Arabidopsis thaliana: one gene and its partners. The protein of the gene in region 4 purifies or fractionates together with the protein of the main gene of each other region. This does not show direct contact. Each region holds a gene or a part of one and is shown on either strand. Other genes may lie near its edges. The genes, in order: PKS1, NPH3, PKS2 and PHOT2.

Evidence for each region.
Region 1: the proteins of PHOT2 (region 4) and PKS1 purify together in Arabidopsis thaliana (affinity purification with western blotting, with the first as the bait; one study listed by BioGRID). This does not show direct contact.
Region 2: the proteins of PHOT2 (region 4) and NPH3 purify together in Arabidopsis thaliana (affinity purification with western blotting, with the first as the bait; one study listed by BioGRID). This does not show direct contact.
Region 3: the proteins of PHOT2 (region 4) and PKS2 purify together in Arabidopsis thaliana (affinity purification with western blotting, with the first as the bait; one study listed by BioGRID). This does not show direct contact.

Annotation. Positions count from the first base shown.
Region 1 is NC_003071.7:852,837-859,034, reverse strand, and holds PKS1 (phytochrome kinase substrate 1), read left to right. Parts: upstream 1-2,309; 5' UTR 2,310-2,566; coding exon 2,567-3,886; 3' UTR 3,887-4,958; downstream 4,959-6,198. UniProt on the Arabidopsis thaliana protein: May be responsible for light-regulated cytoplasmic sequestration of phytochromes or may be a negative regulator of phytochrome B signaling. Component of the network that modulates the very low-fluence response (VLFR) branch of phyA signaling.
Region 2 is NC_003076.8:25,724,599-25,731,506, reverse strand, and holds NPH3 (Phototropic-responsive NPH3 family protein), read right to left. Parts: upstream 4,382-6,908; 5' UTR 3,940-4,381; coding exon 3,803-3,939; intron 3,705-3,802; coding exon 3,635-3,704; exon of another isoform or gene 3,583-3,634; coding exon of another isoform or gene 3,553-3,582; coding exon 2,944-3,552; intron 2,858-2,943; coding exon 2,012-2,857; intron 1,932-2,011; coding exon 1,653-1,931; coding exon of another isoform or gene 1,602-1,652; intron 1,582-1,601; coding exon 1,282-1,581; 3' UTR 1,149-1,281; downstream 1-1,148. Other genes in the region: transcription factor SAC51, read left to right, coding at 1-617; AT5G64320 (Pentatricopeptide repeat (PPR) superfamily protein), read left to right, coding at 6,068-6,908. UniProt on the Arabidopsis thaliana protein: May act as a substrate-specific adapter of an E3 ubiquitin-protein ligase complex (CUL3-RBX1-BTB) which mediates the ubiquitination and subsequent proteasomal degradation of target proteins.
Region 3 is NC_003070.9:4,875,129-4,880,392, reverse strand, and holds PKS2 (phytochrome kinase substrate 2), read right to left. Parts: upstream 2,888-5,264; 5' UTR 2,737-2,887; coding exon 1,408-2,736; 3' UTR 1,086-1,407; downstream 1-1,085. Other genes in the region: SBH2 (sphingoid base hydroxylase 2), read left to right, coding at 1-86; AT1G14270 (CAAX amino terminal protease family protein), read left to right, coding at 3,198-3,452, 3,626-3,723, 3,925-4,032, 4,199-4,281, 4,365-4,498, 4,586-4,635, 4,710-4,802, 4,878-4,969 and 2 more. UniProt on the Arabidopsis thaliana protein: Acts predominantly in the phot1 pathway. Involved in the leaf positioning and also in the phot2 pathway controlling the leaf flattening. Component of the network that modulates the very low-fluence response (VLFR) branch of phyA signaling.
Region 4 is NC_003076.8:23,521,334-23,527,522, forward strand, and holds the start of PHOT2 (phototropin 2), read left to right. Parts: upstream 1-2,491; 5' UTR 2,492-2,760; intron 2,761-2,796; exon of another isoform or gene 2,797-2,877; 5' UTR 2,878-3,212; exon of another isoform or gene 3,213-3,389; 5' UTR 3,390-3,437; coding exon 3,438-3,946; intron 3,947-4,069; coding exon 4,070-4,252; intron 4,253-4,333; coding exon 4,334-4,425; intron 4,426-4,551; coding exon 4,552-4,759; intron 4,760-5,161; coding exon 5,162-5,378; intron 5,379-5,540; coding exon 5,541-5,611; intron 5,612-5,740; coding exon 5,741-5,847; intron 5,848-5,933; coding exon 5,934-5,983; intron 5,984-6,073; coding exon 6,074-6,178; intron 6,179-6,189. Other genes in the region: ROS3 (RNA-binding (RRM/RBD/RNP motifs) family protein), read right to left, coding at 1-1,374, 1,472-1,816, 1,916-2,095, 2,230-2,433. UniProt on the Arabidopsis thaliana protein: Protein kinase that acts as a blue light photoreceptor in a signal-transduction pathway for photo-induced movements.

The DNA of each region.
Region 1 (6,198 bases), on a different chromosome or scaffold from region 4:
ACGTTGATTTTGAATGAGTGCTTTTCTTTTAGTTGTTTATGCAATTCACCATCTCTCCGTCTCCCCTAAGTTGTAAGAATCATGATTGATTCCATTTCCATCGTTCATTTGTTTCCATATATTGATCAGAAAATCAAAACAAATAGGTAGTTTAAACTACCATTAAAAAGGGATTTTGTGTGTGTTTGTTGCTTTTGGGACCTATCAGATTGTGTTTCTGGCTGTAGACTTTAGAGACAATTAGTGTGTTTTTCTGCAACTTGAAACGCCCCTATATTGCTAGCATTTGTTTACTGGGAGAGTTGACTCAAACCGAAATTATCAATCCTTAAATCCATAACTTTGAACAATATCAAAAATAGTTAAAGTTAAGTTAATTAGAGTTTTTTAATTGCCGCTTGATTACAACTTTTTGGAACACATTCCGGTTTGCAATCTTCAAAACTCTCGAGATATCTAAGAATTTTGTAAATTATGATTTTATATGCATATGGAAGCCTTTAGGATTACCAATCACCTCAGCTTTTGTAAATTACAATATGATTTTATATAAATATTGTAAAAGAGACATTTAAAAAAAAATCCTATATAATGATAATTAAAAATCAGATAACGGTACTAGAAAGTATACGTAGTACATCATAAATTGGTGATACCGTTTTGGTATATAATCAATTTTTATTAGTTTTGATATTTGTAGTCATGCTTGTGGTTTGTGGTAAATCTCATAATGATCATTTTTGTTTTAGTTGGACGAATAAAGGTTGTGGTTGAGAAACAAACACGTATGCTGTGGGATCAATTCGAACCATTCATACGTGATACGTCGACTATAGCAACTAATAAGCATATTTTATTAACTACATTACACAATATTCTTGATTGACAGATACATAGATTTTATGTTTGAATTAATTAATCTTTCGTTATGTTATATTTAACAAAAACAATACACATTATTTGATATGTATTATATGACAAGATACGATTCCATGAATTTTCTAATATACATTACACATAAATTATAGAGCGTACGTCAAATCATAACATAAAATATTACTATATTTAACAAAACCCAACTCGATGGTCTTTGTCAATATCTCCCCATGCAACAAAATACGTACATCCCTCGTGCTTTCTAAGTTTCTATTTTTGTATTTTTGTTCCTCAAGTGAAATCCATATCCACTACTTTTCTAGTTGAAAAAAGTTAGAAGTTAAAATACAAGTAAATCCAGATTCACTTGTCAGCTCAATCCTAACATGTCTTTGAAAATGTGTGTCCGAAAACTTGTCAGCCCATTATTAAGTATGTGAAACAATACTTTAATTTGAAGTAATTAAGAAAAACAATACATTAAATCTACTTTTTTTCTCATGTAAAACTCTTTGACACCATTGGTAAAATCCAATCATTTATCTTCCGATCTTATTGACGATGTCATTAATTTGTTAATTGTATGATGGTTAATAAGTTTATCCAATGTATGTTTTTGTTTAATTTATTTATCCAATGTATTATTTTATTTTAACATACAATGCTAATCAAAATTTTAGTTTAAGTAATTAAGAGAGTCCTTTAAGAATAATAAAAAAATGTTGGTTTATAACAGAGAGTCCTTTAAGAATAATAAAAAAATGTTGGTTTATAACAGAGAGTCCTCAATGCAAATCAGATTGTTTTAAACCTGCACACAATCCAACAAAATCATCTCTTCTTGCTAAAGCTAATCATCTCAATTATCTCACAAGGTTCAACAATCGTATGAATGTGAAGTATATAGCCATACACCCCCATCTGTAATTAACGTGTCCGAACGGATTGTACATTAGAGCACCTCCAATGTATAGGATTCATATAGTTTCTAAAAAAACAAAAAGTATTAATATTTTATTTTTATATCCAAAAAACAAAAAAAAACAACCTATATGAATAATAGAAACGATCCTCCCAATTTTAGAGATTCTCTCTCATCTCTTTTTTAATTTATAATTTTTTTTTGTAATTGTATGAGTTTCTACTAAAAAACTACGGTTGGAGTTGGTTTTAGTTGCTACAAATATAGTAGCAAATGTGTTTTAAATCGGAATCTTAAAAACGTATAGTAGTGCTAAACGTCTACGTACAAAATACGAATATTGAACGTATAAAAAAAAACACTTTCTGAAATCTGCAGGTTAGAAAATTATTTAAGAGATCCAGTTGCAATGTGAGTAGTATACTAGTACTGTTGTATTAATAAGTCCTAATCGAATTAAGACCATATCATTATAATTCCTTTCTTTTGTGGTCACGGGGGTAACATTATTTTTCGATTATTCTCCATTGATTGGCAAAGATTCATTATCCAAATATATAAATAAATCAGTTCACACACACAACAACTGGCCAATGACTCAAACTGGAACCCACTCACATTGATCAGATCATAACACTTTTAGCTTCAGAAAAAAAAAAAAAAACAGCTATCAAACATATCGTCTTGTTACTCTATTTATACCCTAATTCCACATATCTACACACAAGCAATAAAGAGAGAAAAAAATATAAAGCTACCAAAGAGAAAATGGTGACACTAACACCATCTTCTGCTAGTACCCCAAAAACATCTTTTGATTTCATGAAGAATAACAACAGTCACAGCAGTCTCTATGTTTCTTCTTCTTCTTACTTGAGCAGCAAGGAAGATGCTCTTGTCACGACCAAGAAGCTCATGGAACCAAGCAAAACACTAAACATGAGCATTAATCCAAAACAAGAGGAGTTTGGTGATGAGAAGAAAATGGTGAAGAAAGCTCCTGAAGATCCAGAGATTGGTGTGTTTGGAGCTGAGAAGTACTTCAATGGAGACATGGATTCAGACCAAGGTTCTAGTGTTCTGTCTCTGACAAACCCAGAAGTTGAGAGAACCGTCGTCGACTCGAAGCAGAGCGCGAAGAAATCTACTGGTACTCCGAGTGTCCGGTCTGAATCAAGCTGGAATAGTCAGAGCGTGTTGCTTCAGAACAAACTGGTGAATAGCTGCAACAGTTCCTTCAAGGAAAAGAAGAACAGTAATGGTCAGATTCAAAAGGTGACCAATAATAAGAAGAGTTTTCTCGCAAATTTGGGGTGTAAATGCGCATGCTCTGATGGGGATTCTGTAGATGTCGAGGAGAAAACCTCGGTCAAGAGAAGCGCTGATCCGAATATCTCTGTTATCACAATGAGATCTTCTGCGGATATGAACACAGAACTGATCAAGATTCAGAAGCAAGAGGAGTTATCACAGAGGAAGTCTCTTGAAGTTTTTGGATCTCCAGTGGCTATTGAGAAGAAGAGTAGTGTTGTTCAGAAGAAACTACCATTGCCTCCATGGAAATCGAGAACAGAGGAGGACGACACAAAGAGTGAAGGGAGTGATTCAAGCTCGGATCTTTTCGAGATAGAGGGTCTTACAGGGAACCCTAAACCTTTTCTTACGAGGCAAGGAAGTGATCCAGCTTCACCTACGTGTTATGCGCCAAGTGAAGTAAGCGTAGAGTGGAGCATAGTGACAGCAAGTGCAGCAGATTTCTCTGTTATGTCAGAATGTGCAACAAGTCCTGTAAGAAGAAACCGACCTACTCAGATTCCTCGAATCCCTATTACCGCTAAATCAGCACCGCAGAGACGGAAATCGAGTAGCAGCAGCGGAGGGAATGGTTTCTTGATGAGCTGCAAGAGTCATAAATCTGTTATGGTTTCTGGTGATTTAGACAGAAGAAGCAGCATGAACAAGACACAACCGAGTTACGTTCCTAGATTCCCAATGGAGACTACTAAACCTAAGAGTTTCGAAACACGAAGAAGGATCAGCAACAGCTCGATTTCTCACACACAATCATCTCTTCTTTATAGTCAGTGATTGCAAGAAAGTAAAAGAAAAAGATTTCAATCTCTGATCTCTCTTTATCTATAATTTCTACTGAGTGAGAAAGATATGTAAACTTATAATAATGTCTTGTTGAGTCCATGATCAAATCAATTTAAAAGGGTTTCTTAGAGACCTTTTGCACCTAAGAAAAAGTTACTCAAAGAGTGACAAATGATTGGAGAGTGAAAACAAAACATTATGGTCAGTTAAAAACACAGATCTCAAATTCAGCAAAATAAGCAGAGAGACATTCCAAAAATTGGCTCCACCAAGTTTTACCTTTTTTGGATTTAGTCTCAAGACTCAAGAGAGAGAGATATGAGTTTTGTCTTAGCTTGAAAGGGTTAAATCAAACGTACACTAGATTGACAGAAAGAGCTATTAATGAGGAAACTTAAATCAATGAAAGTGTCATATTACCTAACATATCTAAGATCTGGTCCTGAAACTCATCTAAAGGCCATGTATATGTCTGAAATAAAAGTAAGGTAGACAAAACCTTAATTGCTAGTTGACAATATGAGAGAAAAGAACCAAAGTGCCTTACTAAGACAATAAATGCAAAGAAAGATCAAAGATGTTTGTCTCTGTAGCCTACTCATAAGGGAAATGATCGAATTTACCCCAAATGATCTTATCCAGTTCACTGATATTTCTCTGTAAGATATTTCAAAAAGGGCTAATTAGATTTCAAGAAAAGACATAAATGAAACCAAGATGATGACATCAAAGCTAGTATAGCTAGTATGGGCTTAAAACCAAGAAACATACAGATCTTGAAGATAAGTATTGTACCCTTCTCAAAAGATATGAGAAAATAATTGACCACACTATATATAAAAATCTAATCATCTAACTACTTAGTTTTCATATGTGGATGAGAGAAGAACAACAAAAGCAAGAAGACATTTTGTGTTAAGAAAGCAAAACAAGATTACTCATCTTTGAATTCTTTGGTTGGACATTGCCTCAAAGCATCCGCTTGCTCTCTTTCGTCAAGTGAATAAAGGCAAGTTGGTAATGAGATGAGACTCTGATCCCACATGACAAAAAATGGCTGAGAGAAGTTTCTATTTAATTCCATAGAGTTTGTGGTGAAACATTCACTGTCTTGATGTGAAAGGGGTTCGTTCCTCAGGAGCCCACCAAGAGAAGGAGAAGAGTCTTGTGTGGTCGTTTGCTGCATCTCCATTACTTCATGTTACCAAAAGAATACAAAAAAACCCCAAACATAGGTTCAGGAACAGATGATGATTATAGAAATAACAATCTTATATTATCTGACAACAAAGTGGTAACAGTACATCAAAACTAGGATTCTTGACTGTCTCTAGCTATGTGTCAGTTCCTAATATCTTCCACAGAGAGAAGGAAATAATGATCATATGCCAACATAAAGAAAATCAAATCTTTTTAAAGCACCCCTAAGTGTATCATAACATGAGAAAAATAAACCTTTAAAGGAAAGATCACTCGATTTTCACAAAGATAACAATCACAGTGCTCTGCCTCTGATTACCAAGTAACGTTTAATGTTCAATTGCCCCGAGTGAAACCATTACCAGTTATTTCAAGAAGATCATAAACTCTACACTCTTTTTTGAAGAACCCATTGTTTAGATGTCGTAAGTAGTCCAGTTTCGTCTGAAATCTCTGTCTCTCTAAAGTATCCAATTCAATGAAATCAACAGGAATGTGGCAATGTGCCCATAAATCAACATTCAAAACATCGAAAACAAAGTCTCTTCTTTGGAAAAAAAAAAAAAAAAAAAAAGCCTCTTCTTTGTGTCTCTTTCCTAAACACAAAACGAACAAGCGCCACATAAACATAACAAAAGCAAATCAATTCATCATCTAAAACCGCTCCAAGAGAATCACTAAATTGTGATCAATGACGACGGTCCACGGCGAGATCAAGGAGACGGCGCCGTGTAAAAATTTCACCTTTGAATTTGATTGAGGAGGGACATATTCCACACGTGGCACCTAAAGAGTGGTTAATGATAAGTATCGACGCAAAGTAAGTATTTAACAATGATTAAATAAAAATATGAAACAAAGAACAATATTGGGCTTTCAAATTGGCGGGTTGAGCCAGGCCCATGCAGTAGTGCAACGCATGGGCGACTCGTGAAAGCCCAGATAGCAAGCTATCTTAACGGGCTTTCTCCCTTAAAAAATAGAGTTAATATCGTGTGGGCCGATGGCCCACATATCAGATATTAAACTGATAAGAACAGATACTACACTTGATCTTAGCCAAAAGGCCGAGAAAGGTATGAATGGTTTAGTCCATCAAGCTT
Region 2 (6,908 bases), 2.2 Mb from region 4:
AAGATGGTGAAGAGTTTCACAAGAGTGATGGAACAGAGTCAGAAATGCATGAAGACACTGAGGAGATCAATGCATTGCTATATTCAGATGATGATTATGATGATGATTGCGAGAGTGATGATGAAGTAATGAGCACTGGTCACTCTCCTTATCCAAATGAAGGAGTTTGCAACAAAAGGGAATTAGAAGAAATCGATGGTCCTTGTAAAAGGCAGAAACTACTGGATAAGGTCAACAACATCAGCGACTTATCATCACTTGTGGGCACTGAGAGCTCCACACAACTCAATGGATCTTCCTTTCTTAAGGACAAAAAGCTCCCTGAATCAAAAACCATATCGACCAAAGAGGACACTGGTTCTGGTCTGAGCAACGAGCAGTCGAAGAAAGACAAGATCCGCACAGCTCTGAAAATACTCGAGAGCGTAGTCCCTGGTGCAAAAGGAAACGAAGCGCTCTTACTTCTGGACGAAGCAATTGATTACCTAAAGTTGCTGAAACGAGACTTAATCTCCACAGAGGTTAAGAACCAAAGCTCCACCACTCACAAGTCACCAATCTTGTTGCTTAAAGAGACAACATGGGGAACAAGAAATCTGCAGACAGATAAGGCGTGAAAGATTCTGACGAGTTAAAACGTGTGAAGTGGGTTTTTGGGTACGTATCCTCTGCACCAGCTTTTTAGCTGTATATAGTGGACTACTTTTAAGTATTATATATGCTACTGCAAATTTCAAAAAGTTAAAGAAGAAAAGAGGTCACTTTCTTCTTCTCTCTGTGTGGAATGAAAAGCCAAAGTCGTCATGGTCATTGATGGACAATGATTATCTTTTTTGGCTGAGTGTGGATGGTGAAATCAAAAGGCAAATATTCAAAGTCTCATCTCAAGCTCGCGTGATCTATGAATCTCCCCTAAGGTAATAAAATATCTCTGACCCACACACACTCTTTTGTCCATATGATGACTAGATGGGTCCATGATTTTTATGAAATATTGATGTCATGTTCATGTAATTAATTTGAGTGTCTGTAATAATGCAAACTATTCCTTTGTCTTTTGCTTCAACCCACATGCTACTGGTATTGTTGTGTCTCTATTGTTGTATTGTTAAATGGTTTTGTAATAAACAAATGGCGTTTTTTGGTTTGTGATAAAAATCGAATCGTTTATGTCACTTATTCCATATTAGAAACCAATAAACATTACAAATTAGGAACAAACAAAAGCTTTTTCTTTTCAAAGAATCAAAATCAAGAAGATACAAAACCATCACTATCACTTCATGAAATTGAGTTCCTCCATCGTCTTGGTTTCCTGGGGGGTGGATGATCAACACCAGCTTGTTCTCCTCCAGAGGATATGTCATGGCTCTCCTGTCCACTCATCTTAGTCAGTTTACTTAGCTTCTTCCAACCGCTGGTCCAAGCCGAAGAAGATGGCGTGTTCTTCACTTTCCCCGTCTTCTCAAACTGTCGTTGCATCACTTCCATCTCGTTCTGAAGCTCGACGTACTTGGTCTTCACCGTCTCTAACTCGAACTTCAACGTGTTAATATCCTTCTTGGCTGCAGCCCATCCTTCCTGCATTCAAAGTAGAGGAATTAGAAAAAAGGAATTTGTGTGAATTTTGATGAGTGTTTTCTCTTACTTGCCTGAAACGATTGTGGTGTTGCTTCGATCAATGTCTTGCGATTTGGGATCATAGGCTGATACGTACCCATGGCTTCTCCTAAAGTGGTTGACTCCTTGAGTGATGTGTTGGCTAAAGCATTGCTGATCTTGACTTGCTCCGAGAAGAGAACTTGAACCACCACTCTCAATGGCAACCTCTCGTTCTGAGCCGCGTGCATACATGCGTCCATTGATAGTTTTTGACAATCCATCACTCGGCATAGCCGTTTCCTCTCATGCTCCGATAATGTCGGATGCGCCTATCACAACAAAATTAAGCCAAAAAAATGTTGAAAACTATTCTACGAATTTACCAAAAAGACCTTCAATATATATATACCTTGAGATATGAATCAATGGCTCTGTATAGTCCATCGTCACAAGTCCTAGCAGATTCCGGTAACGCCTCAGCCAAAACCTGAAACTTTGTCAACGGCAAATTCCGATCTCTAGCAACTTCGGTGAGATAACTATCCACAAGCCTCGCCACTCTCATTTTCGCATTCTGATTATTACCACCACCACCACCACCATTGTTGTTATTCCCTCTCGGGATATCGGCGTACATAGACTGCGACGGCGACGGCGACATTCGACTCGGACTCGATCCTTCCGTCTGTTCTTGCACAAGAAAATGTTCCAACAATCTCTGAACAAGATCAACATCGTACATTGTCTCTCCTTTATTGTTATAACCAGGAATCAAAAGATCTTGAAGCGTCGCTTGTTCGAATTGCATCCCTACGCGTTTCTCGAGCTCCGTGATCAACGCCGGAGCTACTTTGAGCATGTTTGCTGCTCTAAGAAGACGGAGGAGGAAGCTACAAGTGACGGAATCTTTCTGTGGAGGGATTATGCTGATTAAAGATTCGACGATCATTCGTTGGTCTTTTGGACTGATTCCTAGTCCGGCGAGACAAGCGACGGAATCTTGATGTCCGTTTGTTTTTCCGGCGGAGAGAACCATATGAAGACCGCCTTTCCAATCTGGTCCGGAGCTTCCTCCGCTGCTGTTGCTTCCGCAGCTTATACTCATTTCGTCTCCTCCTAAACCTAATCCTCCTCCAATGGCGGAGGACATTGCTGGAGCTATTGCAACTCCTCCTTCTTTGATCAAACCCGGAAGCCATTTTCCGGCGTAATGCATTATTACAGCTCCGAGTAGTTCAAATCTCATACCTTTCACCTGTTTCAATGGATAGAGGATTGAGATATGTACACCAAGTGTTTGTGAAAATGCTTGAGAGAAAAATAACCTATGTGTAGTAGTACCTTGATTGCAGTGATTACACGAACGAAATGATCGATTCTTAAGATGGAGACATCTTCGAACCACCAATCTGGAGGAACAGGCTGGCTATTAGTGTTCCTACTCGGACTACAATAGAAACTTGAATCTTTTGATTCGTTCCATCTCGGACTAGAACCCGCGAAATTTGTTGTTGATGGAGATGGAGCTTTCCCTGTGTAAGCCCATCTAATACCTTTTGGATTACTACAAGCTTTCCAAGCGATAGATTCACTACACCTTCTCACAATCTGAAGATTCTCAGCCCAAGGTGAGAGCTTTTCACAGCTCTTCAGGACCAAGATGGAGTCTCTCCATGAAGACAGAACCACATAGCTGAGAAAAGCTTCTGTCTTGAAGATTAGATTCCCTTCCTCAAGATCCTCTGTCATCTCAAGATACTCAGCTGCACAACGTAATCCTGATATGTTAGTTGCCGTGAGATCCACGGGAACTCCATAGCAGAATTTGGATGCAAGCTCAAACGCTTCTGGTCCTCCAGGTAGATCATCAAGAATAAGGATCGTCGGGTCAGGATCTCGTGACTCATAGATCAATCTGTTCATCTTCCCGCTACGTGACAGCAACGGATACTGAAAGGAAAGAAACACTTTTAAATCCATAAACTTTCTCTAGTTCCAGCTTAAAAATATTGACTCAAGAATATGAAGTTACCTTGTGAAGGTGAAAGTTCATGTCGCCGATCTTAACCAGAAGATCGCTGGGGATATCCGTAGCAACAAACCTAATCATAGGCAAAGGTTTTTGATATGAGTATTAACTTCCTTAACAAGGAAACATGTTCTTTTTGCAGAGACTGTAGAGAAAGTGTGAGGATATTACCAAGATTGGCCTCTAAGCTCAAACCCATCAGTCTTGACGCCGCCATGCTTGTTAGAACTCAAAACTCCATCACCATACTCTCTTCCTCCTCCACCTCCAACTCCAACCCCACCGTCGCTCTCAGATTCCCACATCATACACAAGTTAACACTCTCTGTAGTTGGAAGCAAGAAAGGACCAAGGGAAGATATATAGAGGATGAGAAGATCAAAGTGAAACAAAGAGTTTCCAAGAGAAGAGAGATTGATTAGTTTTGATTATAAAGATGAAAGAGAGAGTGGCAAAGAGAGAGAGAAGAGAGAGGGAGATATTATCCCCACATGGGATGCTTCGAGAATTGGAGCTTTCTCTGAATTGTCTATTTTCTCAGAGAGATTTTCAAAACCAAAGTCTCTCATATATCTAACAGCCTGTGATGTAATGGGCTTAAAACTCTCTGCTTCTTCAATTATCATAATTTTTTTGAAATTTAGTGATATAAATTTTGCCCATTCTTATCATATAATTCAATCTGTCTTTTTTAGATTTTACATTAAACATTATTAGTTTACTGACATTGTAGTATGTTTTTTAGTGAAGATATGAGTTGGTTAAGTAGAGAAAAAAATAAAATATATATATAAGATTTGGGGAGGGACAAGTTGGAGAGTGAGTGTCATTAACTATGACAAAGCCTCGTTCCTTCTTCTTTGCCTGTCTGTTTTTTGATAAAATGTTGAATCATCTCTATGTACATTGCATTTAACTTTCTTTTGGTATCTTTGCTTTCTTTTCCTCTTTGAGGCTTCTCTTATATGGGTCCATTTCCCTAACTTCTCTTCTCAATCTTGCATATCTTTTCTCTTACTTTCTTTCATATTATTCCTCTTTCTTTCCCCCAATTCATAAATGTTTCCAATGTGATTAGTTCTATACCAATTATAGAAACCTTGAGTTACTGTTACATCTAAATGAGTTCTCTATAAATACTGAAATGTGAAAGTGATTACTTTCAAAAGCACTAACCACCTACGGGTTACAAAAAGTAGATTAAAGTCATACTATCAATTTTGAGAAGTTATGACATTAGATATTATTTCAAGAGATAAACATATGATGTTGTAGAAATTGTATTCACAATAGTTTTCAATGGTTGTTGGTTGATGACAAAGATAATAGAAGGAAAAGTTAGAGGAAATTTAAAAGAGAGCATTAAAAACAAAGGTTGTTCATACATACATAAATGGAGATCGAGATAGAAGAAGTGGTCCATAAGAATGTCAGCTATGTACATTAATACACACGATGGTTATATATGTATTAGTCGTAATCTTCTCTTTGCTACTATATATAGACCATGCATTTCTCCAAGTAACTTTTGATTAGAATGGTAATTTCCTACGACAACAACAAAAAATAGGTTATGGAATTCTCCAAGTAACTTAGGATTCTATGCAAAGTATTTGCAGAACCAGCTTGTATTCATGTGTTAAATCTAACTAGTGTTACTACAAGAAAACCATCAAACGTTTACGATGAAAATATTAAATTGTGAATTCATATGGTACAACAATATTAGTCACTTTCAATTTTAATTTTTTTCAGTAATTAGATTAGAATGATAACACTTTTTTGTACAACTAATCCTCTTTAGTTATGTTTTCATGTTATAAAGTGTTTCAATCACATAGTAGATAGTACTATAGAAACATTTCCATATGATAAAATGATTGATGGTCATATTCAATAACCAATCCAATCACCACGTTAAAACTCTTACCCCCACATATACAATGCCATAATAATTATATAATGGCCACATCTTGATTGGATTGTTGTTACAAGGGGTTAAAACACTTGAGATCAATATCTTTTTTCTTTTAAATACACAAAGTAATAATCATGTGATCTTTTTATGGCTTACATTATTGATGATGGTCGTGGTAATACAAATGCCACGTCGCCTTCATATGTTAAAAGCTAATATAAAATTGTCGGTTCAAATCAGACAGGATATACTCATCCGACGGCTGAAGGAAAACGTTATAATAAATCTAACGGCCAGGATCAACTCAAGGTTACTTCTCTTGTTTTTGTTTGGGCTCAGAAGGGGCCCAAAATAAAAACAAAGAAAACAGGGCCCAAAATAAAAAGAATAAAACATATTCGAGCCCTCTAACTTATAAGGTTTCAGAGACCAGAAGGGTAAATTGGTAATTACCGATGTTCTAAAGTTCTTCTCGCTCGTAGGAACCAGAGAGATTCTGTCTGATTAATGTGGGGTTTATGGTTATGCTAGCGAGATCAAAGCTAGCTCTAGATGTGAGCAGAAGATCACAGTCTTTGCAAAGAATCTGCTACTACGCAAGTCTCTCCTCTAGATTTTCCGGCGGCGGCGGAGATGATGGCGGCGGCAGCTCACCGGAAATCGGTGGTACCGATTCAGCAAACGAATGGGAGAAGCTCCTTAAACCATTCGATCTGGATTCTCTAAGGAATTCATTTCACAAGATAACTCCCTTTCAGCTCTATAAGCTACTTGAGTTACCTCTCAATGTATCCACTTCAATGGAGTTGTTCTCATGGACCGGTTCTCAAAACGGTTATCGTCACTCCTTCGATGTGTATCAAGTTCTTATAGGTAAGCTTGGTGCGAATGGTGAGTTTAAAACCATTGATAGATTGTTAATTCAGATGAAAGATGAAGGAATCGTTTTTAAAGAATCTCTTTTCATTTCGATTATGAGAGATTACGACAAAGCTGGTTTTCCTGGACAGACAACGAGATTGATGTTGGAGATGAGGAATGTCTATTCCTGTGAACCCACTTTTAAATCTTACAATGTTGTCTTGGAGATTTTGGTTTCTGGTAATTGTCATAAAGTTGCAGCTAATGTGTTCTACGATATGCTTAGCCGAAAGATTCCTCCAACGCTTTTCACATTTGGTGTTGTGATGAAAGCTTTTTGTGCTGTTAATGAGATAGATTCGGCTCTGTCTCTGCTTAGGGACATGACGAAACATGGATGTGTCCCAAACTCTGTTATTTACCAGACTCTTATACATTCGTTATCGAAGTGTAATAGAGTGAACGAAGCGCTTCAGCTTTTAGAGGAGATGTTTCTGA
Region 3 (5,264 bases), on a different chromosome or scaffold from region 4:
TCGGCACTTACTTGCCTTATTCATTGGAGAAAAGAGCCAATGGAGGATTTGAAACACGGCCAATCAAAGTATCCAAAGATGAGTAATTTCTCTTTCTTTCTTTTGGGGCTTCTTGTCAATGCTAAGTCATCATTTTGCTCGTTAGAGAACCACTGTAACCTTTGCGTACTTGTAATTGTACATACAATTCCAATCTATCCTTTTTTCGATCTGCGGGCATATGTTTCTGTGTAAGCCAGCAGTAAATTTATCTTGTAATAGCCAAAACTTCAGATCTTCTCTGTTATTATTATCTGCTTTATAATTCCAGGTTTTGAGACCTGTGAGAGTCTCATTGATCTCCTTTGTTACGAATTGACATACGCAGAGTCGTTGATTCTTTCTTTTATGCAAAGGGCTTCTCGCTTTTGTTGTTCTTATCCTCTCCAAACATGGCAGCAACGGGGTAGTTTTTCTCTATATAGTTAGTTTCATAGACTAAATGAAGTCACTGTTCAATTATTTCAAAAGTGGACCTTTGAAAAGGATACAATACTTATCTTCAAGATCTATTGATACTTTGTGACATGGTTGATTGGGTTTAATATCAAAAGGTTGTTTCTTGATTAGATCCAGCTGTAAGATCTGAATCTTGAACTAAAACTTTAAACTGTATGACAAATCAATCTTTTTCCCAAAACCTAACATTCCTCCTGAGTTGGTTACAGAGACATATCATCATCAATGACACAATTAAGGTTTTGTCGACGTCTACTTTATCTCATTATCATCACATGGTCTTGACACTGGAGATGAGTTCTGGACCAGAAGACTCTGGAGTGGCTTTTAAGACATGTTAGGTGAAAGGACACTATCATTGTTTGATTGAGTTTCCTCATTAAAGGCTCTTTTAGGCAACTCGTACGGTCTTTGATTAAACCGTTAAATCTAAGCCTAATGAGGTTATCTTTCTATTCTTGAGACAAGCACATGAAAATGAGGTGGACCAAATGTGTTTTGTGTCTAGTCTACGTGCTGCATTTAATTATGTCTCCTAAGTCAACAAAAGGTTACAATCACATCTTAATATTTCACATGGAATTGCACTCTTGGTTATGTCTTATTTGCGGATTAGACCCAAGTGTCTATTGTTCACATGGTGCAGTTCCTTATAATCTCTGGCAACAATAGATGAGTTCTTGGCATCACATTTCATCTTTTACTCATTTGTGGTCAGCAGATAAGTATTGATTGATGATACAGATTGATTTACACTTCTCTATCGACATTCTTCCTTAATAAACCAGTTAAATCAAAAACTACTGTTTTCAGGTACAACAATATGAAGATGGTATTAGCAAATCAAATATTTTCCACTCAATAGACATTTTACATGTAAAACGAAAGGAGCTCAGGTTTTTGGCATAATTAAGTATACAAAAAAGGCGATTGCGTGTGAGAAACAGAACTACTGCTGATCCTCCTTCTTGTTTCAGTGCTTGTTGGATTAGCTTCTACAGGGAATCTTGGAACATAGCTCGGTGTTCTGTTCATGCTTGTGTATGAATCACCAGAAACTCTGACAGATTTATGACTCTTGCATCCCATTAATAAACCGCTACTGCTAGATTTCCGTCTCTGAGGCGCGATTTCTCGGTTTGATTTTGCCATGATAGGGATTCGAGGAATCTGAAAAGACCGGTTCTTTTTGACGGGACTCGTAGCACATTCAGACATAACAGAGAAATCTGCTACACTTGCTGTCACTACACTCCATTGTATGCTTACCTCACTTGGTGCATAACCATCTGGTGAGTCTGGATCACTACTTCCTTGCCTTGCAAGAAAAGGGTTTGCCTTCCCTGTTAAGCTCTCAATCTCAAAAAGATCCGTACTTACATCGCTCACACTCCCATCTTCTTCTTCTTCATACTTCACAGAGAATCCATGTTCTTCTTTTTTCGCAGAGCTCGAGTATTCCCATGGAAATTTCTTCTGAATGATTCTCTTCTCAATAAGAGGAGATCCAAATATTTCCAGAGACTTCCTCTGCTCTAGCATTGCTTCTTGTTGTTGTTGATGAATCTTCATCTCCGAGCTTAGATCTCCAGAGAAACTCAATTGAGTCTTGATCTTCTTCAGACCAGAGCTTCTTCTCTTGTCGTCGACGACATCCACTGAACTCCAGTTCGAACACACGCATCTGCAGCCAAGAGTAGCGAGAAAACTCTTCTTATTACTCACCTTGTGATTGCTACTCATATCCTTCTCCTGAAAGTAACTGTTGCAACTAGAGTTTTTCTTGATGTTCTTCTTCTTCTCTACATATTTGCTCTGAAGCAACAAACTCTGGCTATTCCAACTGGATTCAGACCGAAGACTAGGAGTTTCCGAGGAATTCTTCGAGCTTTGCTTCGGACCAACAAAGATTCTCTCTATTGGAACTTCTGGATCTGGCAGAGGAGACACAAGTCTAGGACTGTGGTCAGAATCCATATCTCCATTGAAGTACTTCTCAGCTCCAAACACACTGATCTCCAAATCTTCAGAAGCTTTCTTGTTAATTCCAAGAACATCATTGGTGATACCACTCATTAGGTTCTTCTGGGTGAGAGCATCTTCCTTGCTTGTCAAGTAAGAGAAAGAAGTAGAAGAAGAAGAGAAAGGACCATAGAGATTGTTACTGTTATTATTATTGTTCATCATGAAATCAAAAGATACGTTTGGAGTTGAAGAAGATGAAGTTAAGGTCACCATTTTGTTTCTTTTTGTGTATTACTATTTCTTAGGGATGATTTAGATTTGAGTAATATAAATAGAAGAAATGAGGAAGTTCCTTGTTTTTTTTTTGAAGCTATGTCGTGTGGGTTCCATTACTGGGACAAGACTGCCTATTTGCCAGTGATTTTGTGCTAATGTATAAACAAAATATTAATTATATTTTGTCTTGGTTATAAGGAAAATGAAAAAAGAAAAATAGTGGACATGATTCTCCCAAGGAACAAAATTACAAATTAGAAGACACGAGGGATGTACGTATTTTGTGATATACTGACAAAGACTTGTCGTCGAGTTAGTTGGTCGTTAATGGGCTTTGGGCCTATACTGACATAAATGGGCCTTAAACAACGTTATTTTAAGTAAGTAACGGTTTTTTTCTACCCGCTCGTTTTAGTCGGATCTTATCCTCTTCCTCAATCTGATAATCGTGTTGGTTCATGTGTGGAAGTTCTCTAAGAACAACAGAAAATTTCAAAATGGTTTCTCAGATAATCTCGTGTTTATCTCAATCTTCGTCTCTTCTATGTTTATCCGATTCAAGGAGGTTAATTCTTCCGAAGACTTGTACTTACGGCGGTTTGAGCCGGTTTTCTCCAGGATTTGCTAGCCGCCGGTTATTTACGGTTAATCGGAAGAAATGGAGATCGGCCTGCATTTTCAACTCTGGAAAGGAACCTGGAGGAGAGGGAAAGGTTACTGTCTCACTGACTCTATCTAAATTAGATTCTTGTTTAGTTTCCGGTCTGAATTTTTCTGAGGCAGCTCTATGTAACTTGTTCAATTGAATCCAAATTCTATTGGAATGTGAAAAAAGACTAGACCTTTGAGAAATTATTTGAAGTTTTGATTGTTATATTTGTTGTAGTTACAAGGAGGTAGCTCAGAGTGGCCGATACTTCAGAGATGGGAAGTTCCATGGGGATGGCAGACAGTTTCGTTAACTTCGTTTGCTTGTGCACTAAGGTACTCTCATCAAAAGCTTTCCCTTTTGATGACTTTAGGGTTGGAGTTTGATGAAAGTACATAGACTGTGTGCTAAGATAAATGTGATGGTTGAGTAGACTGATCTGAAAGATAATCTCTCTGTTATGGTTAAATAGTTTAATGTTCAGTGACTATTCTCTGTGTAATGCATGGAGTGAGATTAATTTTGTTCCCAGGCAGTTTTGTTTTGACAGGATTAACCGAGATGGCAGTCATACCGTTTTTAGGAATCGACGTTGAGAAACTGACCTTGGACGATAAGGCGGAGATTTTGTTCCTGGATCAAGGGTAACCAAAAAAATACTACTCTTTTGTGTATTCTTTGCTCTTTTTTACTCTGTTAATGTAAACTCATTATATAATCTCGTTGCTTTAGCTGATTTCACATTGTAAAATTAGTTATCTCTCTTGAGGTTTGGCTTATGTTGAATAACATTGTCTAAATATTTGGCAGCCTAACAACCGCGGTGGTACTTGCTGTCATATTCACTGTTGCCAAAACCTTCGACCCACTTCCTGAAGATATTCTTCGCTATGGTACGTTTTTTTTTTTTTTTTTTTTTTTTCTATCAGCATGGTTTGCTCTTTTATTGGTAGTTGACTGTTTGTTCGATCGTCAGATTTGAGACAACCCGTCAACCTGCAAAAAGGATGGCTTGTGTGGGGTGGAATCGGTCTGGTTGGTGCTGTTGGTGCTATTGCGTTAACAGGTGTTGTTTTATCCGTGTTCAGGACAGAAGCACCTGAAAGGGAGGTTAGGAGAATTCAAAACCATGCTTTATGTTTTGTTTTCGAAATATTTGTTGGATAATAGTAATGAGGCCTAGTGTGATGTTTTCAGGTAGACTCTTTGATGAAGCTTCTTCCATTAATTGGATCCTCAAACATAAGGTATTTCCTCAAAGAAATAGAAACTGCGATGTGCGTTAATACTAGAATTTGATCACACATTGCACATAATACAGCACCTTAAGCTTAGTGGGCATAACTGGAATCCTTGCTCCACTTCTGGAGGAGACCGTGTTTCGCGGATTCTTCATGGTCTCTCTTACCAAATGGTAAAACCTCTGTTCTTTTTTCTCATTTGGTTCTGGACAAAAGCTTACTACATTTTGTTACGTTCTGTATTTCAGGGTCCCGACCCCAATAGCGATCATCATCAGCTCAGCTGCGTTTGCCCTTGCCCATTTCACACCTGGTGAATTCCCGCAGCTGTTTATTCTAGGTAAAACATAACTAAAAACAAAACCATTTGCATTTTCTCATGGTTATGAACATTTCTGGATGAACAATAAGTATCTTTTGGTTTAGGAAGTGTTTTGGGATTATCATATGCACAAACCCGCAATCTCATTACCCCAATGGTCATACACGGTTTCTGGAACTCGGGAGTTATTTTGCTACTCACTTTTCTTCAGGTAGAAAACTCATTCCTATGATCACTACAATGTCAAAATAACATATCAACTCTTAGCTTATGTTTGTTTTGTCTCTGTTGTTTTTTGTAGATCCAAGGGTAT
Region 4 (6,189 bases):
CAATTTAGCTCCTTCACTCACATTCTTACCATTCAGACGCTGCCGATTCTCATCTAAACTTCTCACAGGGGTACTATCCACAGGGACTCCCGCAGCCACAAAACCACCGCTGCTAGATGCGTAATCTGTTTGTTTCATTGCACTTGCAGTCTGGTTAGAGTTGGAGAACTGGTTTCCTACATTGTTGATCACTCCAGCTGCTTCGCCCTTGTCTGAAGTTAAATCTGGGAAGAGTTGAGTTATACTGAATGAAGAAGTATTTTTGTCGCTAACCAGCTGAGTCCACGAAGCCTTCTGAAGCCATGAAGAACCTCCTGTTGACTTGTTACTAGCTTTCAGCGGTCCTTTACCCGCCTCTTCTTCATCTACAACATTTTCCTTCACGACTAAGCTTTCCTTTTCTGCATTCAAATCCTCTGCTACATTTTCATGCTTCTCCACATTCGACTTGCCGTCCACACTATCGCCCTCTGTGTTTGCAACAAATTCCAGGGGGACAGCTTCAACACTTGTGTCACTAACAGTATCTGCAAGTGATCCTGAGTCGTCTGAACCTACATCGTCATTAGCTGTGTCATCGCACATAGAGTCAATAGCTGTGTCATCTTCCACATTATCACCATCATCGCTCTCAGCCATAGAGTTACTAACTGTGTCATCGGCCATAGAGTCAATAGCAGTGTCATTTTCCACAGCATCCCCATCATCACTCTCAGCCACAGAGTCACTAGCTGGGTCATCTGCCATAGAGTCAATAGCTGTGTCATCTTCCACAGCATCACTATCATCCCTCTCAGCCACAGAGTCACTAGCTGTGTCATCTGCCATAGATTCACAAGCTGTGTAATATTCCACAGCATCACTATCATCCCTCTCTATGTCATCTGCCATTGTGTCACTATCATCCCTCTTTATGTCATCTGATACAGGTAAATCCTCTGCCATGATTGTAGACGTTACACGCTTTCTTTTCGTCTTCTTCTTCAAATTTTCTCGGCTAGGAAGCCCAGCAAGATCAGTGTTGCGTGGTGCAGGTTGTACTGCTTTACTGGAGCCAACACCTGGCAAGAAACTGGATACACTAAAATCATTGCTGTTCCCATTTGCCATAAGTGATTTCCAGGAAGACTTTTGGGACCAGGAAATATTGTCGATTGACTGCTCAAGATCTTTTGTTCTGCTCGGTTCATCCGATGATTTATCTGGTACCACTTCAGAAGGCTTCTTCTTTCCACGTATGGCCTGTGAAGATTCCTGTCTTCCAGTTTCCTCTAGGCTGATTGTTTGCCTATTCTTGCTTGGATGAGTAAGGTTCCCTTTTCGTCCTTCACTATATCCTTCTTCACTTGGTGTTTTTTTGTTGAGAATTGATTTCTGAGTTACAATCAAAGAAAGAGCCAGATCAGGGATGAGGTAGATGACTCATTATTGGGTTAAGTATAATAGAAAAAATATAAGTAGCACTACGTACCCGTTTTCTAGACAACATATCCAGCGCTGAGTCCATATCATTGCCACTAGATGCCACATTGATGATGAGGTTATCTTGGTCTGCTTCAATCTCATTGTCTTCTTCGGGGTCCACATTGTTTTTCTCAAAGAGCTTATTCATCACCGAGTTCATAACATTCACCTCGGCTTCTTGTCTTCCCACATTAACCGCTTCCAGATCATGAAGATGTATTTCCCGAGGAGTGAGAGAGCTGTTAGAGTGCTCTTCACAATCACAAAAGCTCCTTGGAAGAGAAGACGACACTGGAACACGCTGAAAGCTATACTTATGTTTACCAGTTCCACTAAGTGGCATAGGTTTCACCTGCACCACACATACGTAGCTCAAACCCTAATCTCTTACTACTCCTAGTACTAACTATGTCATATAAATGTTACAACTTTGAAGGAGCATTAGTAGTACCTTTCTGAGTCTGGGAAAGAAGATGTTAAGGTGAGTGGCAGGTGGTGAATCGGAGGGAGCTTTAATGGTGTTATCAGAGGTAGAAGACGCTGCCTCCCACTCTCGCTTTAAGCGAGCTAGATAATGCTCTTTTGCTTTCTCCAGTCTCAGCCTCCCTCCTTTCCAGACACATCCATTATACTGCCAAAATCGAATTAGGGTTAAGAATAACAAGAGTAAGGAGAGAGAGAGAGAGAGAGAGAGAGAGAGAGAGAGAGAGAGAGAGAGAGAGAGAGAGAGAGAGAGAGAGAGAGAGAGAGATCGAATTCACTCACTGTAGAGAAGAGCTTGGTGAGTGAATTGGTGGAAGATGGAGAGAAATCGATGTAGGCAAAGGAACGACCTTTGGTCCTGACGAATTCGACGGCATCGACGGTACCCATCGGAGAGAATATCTTGAGAAGATCATCTCTCCCGACGCTTTCTCCTAATCCGCCGACGTGAAGCCTAACGCCGCCGCCGCTGCTTTTTTCCTCCATTGCTGCTTGCTTCAGTTGGATTCAGTTTTCCCTCGCCTCTCCCTCACTTTCCTTACTTCTTAATCTTAACTAATAAGGCCCATTAGAGAAGACCCACTAGGACTTAATGGGCTTTTAGCGGGAAAATAATAAGGCCTAACAAGTTTTTAGGGGTCCCTTCTCTTTAATTTCATCGACATTATTTGAAACAGACAGTGAAAGAAGAAACAAATTGTGGATTCGTCGTCTGCGAAAGCATCTGGGAGAGAAGAAGCCACAGTCATTTTCTTAAACGTGTTCATTTTTCGTCTAATCAAATCATGGCGCATGTTCTGTTCTACTACAATCGTAAGTTTACTGGGTTTTATCTATTTATTGTTTATTCATTTTACATTGAAACATGTCTGAATTATTGTACTGGAAAAATTGATGTGAGGGGTGTAATAAATTCGTTTGATTATGAAGAAAATTTGTGAAAGAAGAGGGAATGATGAACAAGAGTGCACGTATTAAGAGGAAACAGAGTTGTGTGGTCCTTGACCTTGAGGGTGAAAAAGGGTCCATGTGAGTTTGATTATTGATAGCGATGTCTATCCTCCCAGGCTTCCGCATCGCTCATTTGCAGCCTCAGAAACATGATTGTCTTTTTAAAATAACTCAAATAATAATATAACTGGGTTTTGGAAACAGTACAGTTGTGTTTTTTAATTGGTCTATCTCTCTATCTTTCTCATCGTCTTTGCTCCTTTTAAAGACTGTGTACTATATTTCCATGAGTTGCAGCTGATAAAGCTACTCTGGTTGGTATATATATATTTTTCATTTATTTTATCTACTTCACCTTCTTTAACGTGTTTTGTTGATTTGCTTCTAAAGACTTTTAATGGCATTTATTACTTTGTTTCTCGAACCTACAGTTGTGTCTGCCTCTTCTTTCTATCTAACTTGTCTATGTGGTGTCTGGTTTTGATTTGCAGACTATTCATTACTCTGTTTCGCCATAAGAAAGAGAATAAAGAAACGTTATGGAGAGGCCAAGAGCCCCTCCATCTCCTTTGAATGATGCGGAGTCATTAAGTGAACGTAGATCTCTTGAGATTTTCAACCCTTCGAGTGGAAAAGAGACACATGGATCAACTTCTTCTTCTTCAAAGCCTCCTCTTGATGGCAACAACAAAGGTAGTAGTAGTAAGTGGATGGAGTTTCAAGATTCCGCTAAGATTACAGAAAGAACCGCTGAATGGGGATTGTCAGCTGTTAAGCCGGATTCGGGAGACGATGGCATTAGTTTCAAGCTGTCCAGTGAAGTGGAACGAAGCAAGAACATGTCTAGGAGGTCATCCGAAGAATCTACATCTTCTGAATCAGGGGCCTTCCCTAGAGTATCCCAGGAGCTCAAAACTGCTCTATCCACGTTGCAGCAGACTTTTGTTGTCTCTGACGCTACACAGCCTCACTGTCCCATAGTCTATGCCAGCAGTGGATTCTTTACCATGACTGGTTATTCTTCCAAGGAAATTGTTGGAAGAAACTGGTACTGCTCATCTCGTATCTTGCTTCTAGTTTCATTCCCAGTTATTAGTTAGAATAATATTGCTTTTGAAACCCATGCCAACTTACTCTGAAATGCTCTTAATCTTTGTGGGTAAAACGCCAGCCGGTTTCTGCAAGGGCCAGACACCGACAAGAATGAGGTTGCCAAAATCAGAGATTGTGTCAAGAATGGAAAAAGTTACTGTGGAAGGCTGTTAAACTACAAAAAGGACGGAACTCCCTTCTGGAATCTTCTCACAGTCACTCCTATCAAGGACGACCAGGGCAATACCATCAAGTTCATTGGGTACGTCCCTTAATTCCTCCCTGTTTTTCCCTAATTAATCGACTGTCCCTCGATCAATCATTTTCACATTTCCATCTGCAGGATGCAGGTTGAAGTTAGCAAATACACAGAAGGGGTAAATGATAAAGCATTGAGGCCTAATGGACTCTCCAAATCCTTGATTCGATATGATGGTATCTGTTTTTTTGCATCTCTTCGTTAATTCAACAAGTTTTTTTTAGCCAAAAACAATGATATAATTTAGCAAAGAGTGCTGATCCACAATCTTTAACATGTAATGGTTTTGATGATGATATCAGCTCGCCAGAAGGAGAAAGCTTTGGATTCCATCACAGAGGTTGTGCAAACTATAAGACATCGTAAGTCTCAAGTTCAGGAATCCGTGAGCAATGACACTATGGTAAAGCCTGATAGTTCTACTACACCTACACCTGGTAGACAAACAAGACAGTCAGATGAGGCTTCAAAGTCTTTCAGGACACCTGGACGTGTTTCTACTCCAACGGGGTGAGTCTTCGTAACCACTAACCACCAGATTACAGTAGTCTTCCTGAACATAAAATAAGGCATATATATTGCCCAAAAAGTGTGATGGCAGTGCCAAAGTTTTGCAGAAACAACTTGCTATTATCATTGCCAAATAGTGGTAAAATATATACTACACAATCTCAATCTAGTTGTTGTGTTAGTCAATATTTAACTCATAGATAATTTCCATTCGAATACGAAGATGCAGTTGCAATCTCCTACTATTGTTCTGTTTCTTATTTCTCGTGTACTTTTGTAACTTTGTGCTGGGCCTTAGAATGTATCCTCTGACATGGATTGGGTAGTGAATTCTGAAGCTGTGTATATATATGTATACATATACACTCAAGGATTTCTGATCTAGCTTCGTGTAATGTGCAGGTCAAAGCTCAAAAGCTCGAATAACAGGCATGAAGATCTTTTACGTATGGAACCCGAAGAATTGATGTTGAGCACAGAAGTAATAGGGCAGAGGGACAGTTGGGACCTATCGGATAGAGAAAGGGATATACGCCAAGGGATTGATCTAGCTACCACTCTTGAGCGCATAGAGAAGAATTTCGTCATCAGTGATCCTCGTCTCCCTGATAATCCCATTGTATGTTTTTTCTGTCTAAAATTGAGATGAACGTTTTTTTCTCGAACCTTAATGTATCAATTGTAGAGTATATTTCATATATTGATTGTTCTTACTCAAGTGTTCTACTATGTTTGTAAGCATATAATCTTGAATTGATAATGGAAATCGTTTTATTTGCAGATCTTTGCATCAGACAGCTTTCTTGAATTGACAGAGTATTCACGCGAGGAAATATTGGGGAGAAATTGTCGGTATGTGAAAATTCTTCTTTTTGTATCTTCTACTCATGAGATTTATCATGCCTTTTAAGTTATGCAGTCTTCTCCGGCTGCGTTTTTGTTGTTTCGTGATATGGATATGTGCAAAGTGGTTGGCTTCAGGTTTCTTCAGGGGCCAGAGACAGATCAAGCGACTGTCCAGAAGATAAGAGACGCAATTAGAGATCAGAGGGAGATTACTGTGCAGTTGATAAACTACACTAAAAGCGGTAGTTATCAGATACTGAACATTTTAAAACGATCATACTGAAAAGTTTCTATGTGGTTGTGTCATTAAAACTCTAAACCATTGCAGGAAAGAAATTCTGGAACTTATTCCACTTGCAACCTATGCGTGATCAGAAGGTCTTCGTGAGATTATTGTTATATCTGGATTCCGATTCTTGAAGAAAACCGTGCATTGTTGCTGATTACATGACTTTATTCATCTATTAGGGAGAGCTTCAATACTTCATCGGTGTGCAGCTTGATGGAAGTGATCATGTAGAGCCCCTCCAAAATCGTTTGTCTGAGAGAACAGAGATGCAGAGTTCGAAATTGGTATGTGGTTC